Linked DNA regions of Daphnia pulex. The protein of the gene in region 1 purifies or fractionates together with the protein of each later gene. This does not show direct contact. Links are inferred from orthologs where the notes say so. Each region holds a gene or a part of one and is shown in the gene's direction. Other genes may lie near its edges.

The links.
Region 2: the proteins of WW domain-binding protein 2-like (region 1) and transcriptional coactivator YAP1-A-like purify together in Homo sapiens (affinity purification with mass spectrometry; 7 studies listed by BioGRID and IntAct, with this or other methods). This does not show direct contact. The link is inferred for Daphnia pulex from reciprocal best matches to the Homo sapiens genes WBP2 and YAP1.

What each region holds. Positions count from the first base shown.
Region 1 is NC_060023.1:8,646,074-8,650,404, forward strand, and holds the start of WW domain-binding protein 2-like, read left to right. Parts: upstream 1-1,478; 5' UTR 1,479-1,579; coding exon 1,580-1,635; intron 1,636-1,708; coding exon 1,709-1,883; intron 1,884-1,944; coding exon 1,945-2,104; intron 2,105-2,175; coding exon 2,176-2,331; intron 2,332-2,396; coding exon 2,397-2,486; intron 2,487-2,545; coding exon 2,546-2,628; intron 2,629-2,693; coding exon 2,694-2,747; 3' UTR 2,748-2,774; exon of another isoform or gene 2,775-3,273; coding exon of another isoform or gene 3,274-3,448; intron 3,449-3,523; coding exon of another isoform or gene 3,524-3,623; intron 3,624-3,692; coding exon of another isoform or gene 3,693-3,821; intron 3,822-3,929; coding exon of another isoform or gene 3,930-3,997; intron 3,998-4,131; coding exon of another isoform or gene 4,132-4,261; intron 4,262-4,331. Other genes in the region: hatching enzyme 1.2-like, read right to left, coding at 3,274-3,448, 3,524-3,623, 3,693-3,821, 3,930-3,997, 4,132-4,261. UniProt on the Homo sapiens protein: Acts as a transcriptional coactivator of estrogen and progesterone receptors (ESR1 and PGR) upon hormone activation. In presence of estrogen, binds to ESR1-responsive promoters. Synergizes with YAP1 to enhance PGR activity.
Region 2 is NC_060025.1:6,895,076-6,899,084, reverse strand, and holds the start of transcriptional coactivator YAP1-A-like, read left to right. Parts: upstream 1-1,209; 5' UTR 1,210-1,389; coding exon 1,390-1,853; intron 1,854-1,952; exon of another isoform or gene 1,953-2,367; intron 2,368-4,009. Other genes in the region: nucleolar protein dao-5-like, read left to right, coding at 1-41, 108-162, 233-294. UniProt on the Homo sapiens protein: Transcriptional regulator with dual roles as a coactivator and corepressor. Critical downstream regulatory target in the Hippo signaling pathway, crucial for organ size control and tumor suppression by restricting proliferation and promoting apoptosis.

The sequences.
Region 1 (4,331 bases):
ATGACCAAACACAAATTGTATCTAACAGGAAACCAGCTAGCACTGCTCGATTTACTGATTACAGCTTCCGATGACGGCCAAGTTCTCTCCAATCAGGACATTCAAGACGAAATTGACACTTTCATGTTTGAGGTACTATTTCCCAGTAAAAGTAATTATTGATTGAAGCGCAAACAAAAGTTTCTGATGTTTAATAAGGGTCACGACACGTCGGCCTCAATGATGGGATGGTTTCTCTACTTAATGGCAGTGAACCCAGAATGCCAGGTAAAAAACAATTGACGCTATTATACTATAATGTATAATATCCCTAGCAATCAAATTTTCATCCGGTATTTATATCGGGAATTTCACATGACACCGTGTATGCCACAATCAGGAAAAAGCGTACAACGAATTACAAGATGTCTTTGGGAAGTCGGAAAGCGAATGCACTCAAGAGGATATTCCCAATTTGAAGTATCTTGAATGTTGCATCAAGGAAACATTGCGGATGTACCCCAGCATAGCTGGATTTGAAAGACATGTCCAAGAAGATATTCGAATCGGTGACGTTACACGTTTTCTAATCCGCATCACTTGCTAATATAGAAGTATAATCTTTTTGTCCTTCTATAGGGAATTATTTGATACCTGCCGGTTGTTCGGTGGGATGTCTAGCTTTAACTACGCATAAAAATTCCAAATGTTTCCCAGACCCTTTAGTTTTCAAGCCAGAGCGTTTCTTGCTTGACCAGGCCGTTGGCCGACATCCGTACGCTTACATACCATTTAGTGCTGGACCTCGCAACTGTATCGGTATTTTAATTTCTAAATTATACGTATTTTATAATGATTTTGCCAAATGCCGCCTTTGCATTACTTTTGTGTTTGTAGGTCAAAGATTTGCAATGTTGGAAGCAAGATCGTGTTATCGAATCTTCTCCGGCGATTTAAATTCGAGCAATCACCCAACGCAACGGCTCCGATTCCTTCATTCCAGATAACCCTGAAATCGTTAACCGGGATTCATTTAAGCGTCTCTTGTCGTTGAAGACACTTTTCATGAAAAGTAGTAAGAGCATGGAGTATTAGACAGCTGAATCTCAATTCCAGAAACATCTATTTCTCCAAGCATAGTACAAGCTCTTTGGTGTAATATAAGTCTACCAAGTTGACAGATAAATTTATTGTTGATTGAATTTTATTACGGTTTCAATGATTTTCTGAAGTAGCCTACATGTCTGCTTAAAAATAAAGATCCAAATTGGTAAGATGGCAGATGGTAACTTCGTACTTTATAATTTGAATCTGGGAGGGATTATGAATGAAGCTTTAAATAATCTACTATTCTTATCTTATTTATTTATTTTGTTTTAGAAGATAAACTTGTCTACCTTCATCTCCAATTCTTCCGATTTTCGAATTTAGGCGGCTTCAACTTTAAAGCAAATGTTACAATAATGTCCGCTAGATGGCATCTGTTTTATCGTGACCTATCCGATTTCGTCATATTCTCGAAAACACTCATAACATTGAAACGTCGTGTCATTGTCGTGCATCCTCTATTCTGGTAACTGGTAAAATACGAAATCGAAGAATGTCTCTCAATACTGCTCACGCAAATAACGGTGTGCTGATTTATGCTGGAGAATGGTGAGTTGTAGAGACATCAAATAACTAACGAGAAAATCGAATTCGCATTTACCTTTGACAACTTATATTTCAGTATTCTGTTGTATTGCGACAACGTCGTGATGGAGTTCAGCGGGCAAGATAGACCAGAGTTTAAGGGTGATAAAGCAGGCAGGCTCTACTTGACTACTCACAGGATGATCTTTAACAGTTCGACAACAAAAGATCCTCTTCAAAGCTTCAGCTTTCCGTTTTGCACCATGAAAGATGCAAGTTCATTTTTCTCATTAGCACTCGAATATTCAAATAGTCATGACAACTTGATATTAGGTTGAACTGGAACAACCCATGTTTGGAGCAAACTACATTAAAGGAAAAGTTCGTGCCCAGCCAAATGGTGGATGGGTTGGAGAAGTCAAGTTCAAGCTCCACTTCAAACATGGTGGAGCCATTGAATATGGACAAGCTATGTTGCAAGCTGCAAGTATAAGTATGTTTCATTTTCTCTAGTTCTTTGTATTTTGTTGTATGTTTTTTAACAGAGAGGTTTTGTATTTTCAGCCAAGCGTAATCATCAATATTCTGATGAACCACCTGCCTATCAGCCACCATCTGGACCATGGCATAACGCTCCACCACCAGCCTATTCTACTCCTAATGGTGGTTATTATGGATGGGTGCCTCCACCCACGAATGCATTTCCCAATGCTCCTCCAGGTTGGTTTATATCTATTCCTTCTTAGAACTCAAATTGAAATTCATAGTTTAAAATTTATTTATAGCAAATTCAGTTTTCATGACTGACATGCCTCCTCCATACCCTGGAATTTATCCTGGAAATGCTAATAATGGATACGCACCATCTTCAAATGGTAAAAAACTCAAAGGATTTGTTTTTGTTTGTTTCAAATAAAATGCAATTTTTGTATAGATGCCAAGGCTGCCGAAGCTGCCGCAAGCGGAACTGCCTACTACGATCCCAATACTCATTATGCTTACGTTCCTCCAGCATATGTAAGATTCCATTTAAAAGGTTCCTTCACTGACATGAAAACTAAACATTTTATTTGTTTTTCTAGTCCAACGATGCCCCGCCCAGCTATGAGGAGAGCAAGGACAAGAAATTCAAATAAAGAGCATCCAAATTCGCAACATTCACGGTCGGCAAATTTTTCTCTATTCCCTAATATACTTCACATCTATTTAAGAAAATTATAGTTGTGTGTATTTGATGTCGATCTGATATATCACGCTATAGCATTCCTTATTCCCGTTCTACCGAGAATTTATATCTACTAGTTGATTTTTTGCGTTTAATCTCTAGTCGTTTCCCGACCGTTCGTCTTGTAGTTTTTTTTTTCCTGAATATTATGATCGTCCCACTCGATTTTAGATCGTTTCCGGCTCTTGTATTCTGTGAAAGAAAACTTTTTTCCATCCTGGAATAGAGTATGTGTCGCGCTTCAACTCGTCTGATTTGTCTCTTGGTTTTGGAAAACAAACTTATAGCGATTTTATAGCACAACAAACGATGAAATAGTGGTAGATTTGATGAGAGGATAGAAGTATGTTGGCACGACGCACGACATAATTTATATTGTTAAAACATTTTTTTTTTGTTCGATCAAAGGGTGAAGTGGCCGCAAATCGTTTGCGAGCTCAAAGGCCGAGTATGTCACAGAAAGACTCGTACTTGAGCTTCTCGTAAGGTGAAATTTCGAAGCAACCGTAAAGCTTATTCACTTTGTAGCAATCCGTCCGGCTCAATCCGTCGCGCTGGCCGATCTTGGCATCACGACGCTTCGGCACCAACGTTGGCTTGTCTCTTCCCGCACTTAATTTTGAACATGGAACATAAAATCTCTTCACTTTATATTCCATTTTAAATTCATTTTGAAAGGCTAGTTACCTGAAGAAATGGGTCCCGTAGTGCATAATGGACGTGTAGTCGTACTCGAAATCGTAGGTCGTGTTAAGCAAACTCTGCTTGGCAAAATTATGCAAAAATGCTGAATAGAAGAAGGGAATGAAAATAGATCATAAAAAATTTGAGAAATTTCGGTTCAAAATTGGCTCACGTTTAACGACATTTTCTTGATTCAAAGTGACGTAGTCATCTCGGTCTGCTCGTGATTGCTCGTGAAAAATACCCAAGGCGTGGAGCATTTCGTGAATAGCTTTTCCCGGCCCTCCCAGACACTTGGGACCTGTTATGTTTGATAACGTTTTTAGAACTTGTTAGTTGCTGGGGTCCGGATTAGAGGTAAACCCGTTTTTTTTTTTTTTTTTTTTCTTTTGTGTCGGTGTGGCCATACCTTGACTATCTGGAGGCTGAAGCGACAGGACCTGCTGCCCACCCGTACGACCGATGAACGACCAGCAACTGTATAGACAGAAGCCAACCAGAATTTGAATGAGTACAAATATTTCCCTCAGCTCGGTGGCAAAGGCCTTTTTTTTTCTTTCTTTTCATGAACTAAAAGTGGAATTGTTCTTATCGTGAGAAGCGGTCGTTACCCGGCTGGTTCCTCGACAGGCCAAATAAGCAAGTAGTCCTCCACCTCGCCGTCGTATGGGACGAAATCGATGCAGGTCATCAATCCAAGGGTGTACAAGGCTGTTTGTATGGTTTCTCGGTCGACCGGGTCTATGGGGGAAAAAAGGTTGTGTGTTAGACATTTAAAAGGAATTTTTCTACGGATTCTCATCTAACTTGA
Region 2 (4,009 bases), on another chromosome or scaffold:
TAAAAAAAATGTGGTCTATAATCAAGGAAAGAAACCTATATGTAAGTTTCATGTCAAATAATTCATTGAACCAATAACTGATATGTTTTATTCAAAATTTTGTCTAGGATCCCAAGAACAAACAGTTTGCGGTTTGTGACGAACAATTACAGAAAGTTTTTGGTAAAGCCATTTCCGTTCTAGTTCAAAATCTGTGATTTCTAACGAGTTTTATTTTTTTTACAATTTATAGGCGTTAAGAGATTTCGTACATTCGGCATGATGAAGTACCTCAAAGCTCATTTCATTGATTAAATTGATCGGGAAAGTAAGCTTTTAAAGATAAGGGATCAAAAGCTGGCGTGCACACTGCGGAATGAATTAAGCTATTAAGAATGAATTAAGCGATAGCAAAACAAATGCGACATTTTTCTATTTTATTTTATTTTATTTTTCTTCCTTTTTGCGGGATATAAAAAACTATCCTACGCGCCGTTTTGGAGTTGACGTAGAGTCCATCCGCAAGGTGCCAGTTGTTGAATGGTATCATTGATCGCTGTACTCATTTTACTGGAAGTTCTCGGTTTAAATGTTTGCTTTGAAAAATCTGAAAAGAAGTTGTCGTACGATTCTGATGGTGCGTGATGGTAGATGCAAGTTCGTTTATCTCTTCTCTCGCTTTTAGTTTTGTGGAAAAAAGGAGAGATTGATTGGACAGGTTGATTGTATTTCTCTTACATGTTCTTCTACAATTTCACATCGGGGTTCGTGTTTTTCCATCCCTATGCATGTTTTCAATCCTTGACCATTTGAGAAATTCAAAAGCATAATACACATACAAACCTTATCCGTCTTGTTTGCAAATTAACAAGAAAACATAGTCATTCGTGAAAACCATAAATTGTGTAAGATTATTGCTATGACCGACGTTAAAAACAGTTTGCTGCGATAACTTCCAGCTAAATTATTTAATGAAGAAAAGGTTCATTGCTTCTCTATTTACTAGTAATTCGATAATAATTTTCATTCGTATTGCATTCAATTGTGGAAATTTGCTTTTTGTATAAAAAAAAAGCATTTGAAACACTAGATCATGTAAAATTATTGTAAAAAAAAAGAAAAAACAAGTATCAGGTAAAATGAATTATAGTCGGAAGATGGCGTCCGAGTTTGTTATTGAAAAAATTGATATGCCAGCCTGCCACCTTCCGGCTTTTGCCTAGTTGCATAGATGAGGTGCATCAGTTACTCGCCAGACTGTCTTTTGTGTGGAAGGGTGTGTCGGCTGATTATTGAGTTAACCTTTTTCATTTTTTATGATCTTAGTTGTTGTCTTTCTTTGTTTAGCATATTGTAATTCCCTTACCTATCCTATCTGCTCGACTGCTTGAAAGTTCTGGTATCATTAAAATGTCAAAAAATCCCGAAGTGGTCGAGCACAAAGAACGGAATCAAATCGTACACATTCGTGGCGATTCTGATTCCGAATTACAAGCCTTGTTTGACAGCGTACTGAAGCCTGATGCCCACAGACCATTGCAGCTGCCATTTCGGTTGCGAAATCTGCCAGATTCTTTCTTCAAACCACCTCCAACTGGATCAAAGTCTCCTTCTGTGGCATCTAATTCACACAGCAGAGAAAACAGCACAGATTCTGGGCATTTTGCTTTGAACCCTTCACCATCAGCCAATATTCACCATTCGAGAGCACACAGCTCTCCAGCCTCACTCCAACAGACTTTGGCAGCTGGTCAACAACGACCAGTACATCAGCACTTAAAGCAACAGAGTTGTGACTTAACTCTCGATCACTTCCCACTTCCTGAAGGATGGGAACAAGCCAAGACACCTCAAGGACAAGTCTACTTTTTAAAGTAATCTTTCTTTTCATTTATTTACTTCTTAAGTTAGATCTAGTCCTCAGTTACAAGCTCAAAGTTTAGTGAAATAGTAAAGTTGCAAATATTTTGCGTCTGTCCCCACGAATTGAAACTGTGTCGTACATCACGATTGAATAATAGCATATAGCCTCGATGAAAGCGACCTTGCAAAAGCACTACTCAGCCAGCGTTCATTGAGTGATGGCGTAAGTGAAGGACAGGCGCCGGGGTAGGTTAGCTAATTCTGCTTGCGATATGTGGACCCGAAAGTCATGGCGTTCTATTATTAAACGGTGGCGGATTCAGAGTGCGAGGAGAAGCAATAGGAACTACATAAAAAGTCTTGAGGGGTGGCCGATTTGAGCAAAATGCGCAGGTTGAACGGGACAGTTGAGAGCGTGAGGAGGGGTCGGAGTTTGCCGCTGTCGAGACGCAGTTTGGAGCAGCTATCTCAACTGCAAAAATAGAACCGGGCCGTGCCTTTATGGAGCAACCATCCCTCAGTAGGGTAAAGCTGCTTTCACACTTAGGAGTTTTTGACATAAGAAAATTGGGTTCTGCAACCACACCTTTTTTCTTGGGAGAAAATACGATGAAATTGTGAGTTGCAGAATCCTATTTTGTTTTTACTGTCAGAAAAACCTCTTTTTTCGTGTGTAGCATGTATATTTTTTTGTAGAGAAAGATAAAAGTTTTGTTTAGCTCTGAATGAATGGTTGCTAGGTCCACTTCATCTCTGGTAACCATTTTAAGATTTAGTCTCTTGTCGACAGCGAGAAACGCTTTCTTTAGAGGTTGTTGCGTTTCAACCCCTCCTTCTCAACTTACGGCGCCTCATTCGTCTCACATCTCGAAAACTGATTGCTTATTTATTAAATTATAACTACATACAGTCATGCCCGACTACTAGAATATTTTCTCTTGCCATCTGATACGTGTGTTGGGGTTGGCCAAATCGCGTATTTTTAAGGGTTCGTCGAACAACCGTTGAGATCTCATAGTTTCTCAACTGAATAACTCAAATTTACCACGATGGAATGTATACTGGCCTTAAGTAAAAAGAAAAAAGGTCTGTGGAATGCCCTCCTACCTTTTACCATTTTTTTTTTCTTCTTCTTTTTACCTGTAAAGAAAGAGACGGGGGCAAATGCCTGTGGTGTTTAGGAGAGAGAGAATGCATAGCGAAGCACGGGGGATCTCTACGTTTCCTGCTGGTGGGTTAGGTTGCTTATTGTTGAATACCTTGTTCTTTTATAGTGACCTTGGGTACGAGTCCCCCCTCCTCCCGCCATCTCTATTGAGACCCTCAGCGAAAGAGAGGAGCCGTTTTCTCTGTCTCCGAGCTTTTATCCAACTATTTTCTTCTTCCTGGATCCATTCTTACCTGTGGCTATGGGCTGACCTTTCCATCTTCTCCTCTACTTTCTCCTCCGTATGTACGTTATCTATCCACTTGTTTGACCAATTTTTTTGTTCTTTTCTTTTTCTCCGTGAGGGTTGCTTTTCTGTCCTTTGGGTTCCATGCTAGCCTTTTGTGAAGCCCATCTTCGTTCTTTAATTCATGAGCTCGTTGATTCGATCCGAGCCAACGCGAACCGCCTATCATCCGCCTTTGGTTGGACTCGCCATTTTTGGGAAGGAGAATCTGCACACGGAGCAGGTTTCTCTCTCCCCCTCGACTCAACCTTTTATGGATGGAATTCCCACGGCTTCTCAATTCATCCTTAGAAACTCCAAATCCCTCATGAAAAAAAGTATTCTCTTCGAAAAATATCAACATTTTTAACTGGAATACGAGTTTCTTTTGTTTATTTAAGCTTTTTTAATCGTACAAATGAAGCTCGTCCAGGTAAAAAAAAAATATGAATCCGCATTAAAATGAATGTGTTGGTTCATTTCTGGGCGCCAGGATTTAGAACTAGTTGTCATTTTGTGCAATGCTACCGGTTTCGACAAGCGACCTTGTCCGTGCAAATTTAGGTGCGTTTGCCCATGAGAGGCGGAAACAAGCTTGAACGACGTTAGGATCGGGGACGGTCTGCCCACCTTAGTACGTTTTCCGTATTCTCCGTTTTACTCTTCTTTACTTCCCAAGGCCATGTGACCGAGTGTGTTGTTGCTTACATTATTCCCCTTCCCTCCCTCCCTCT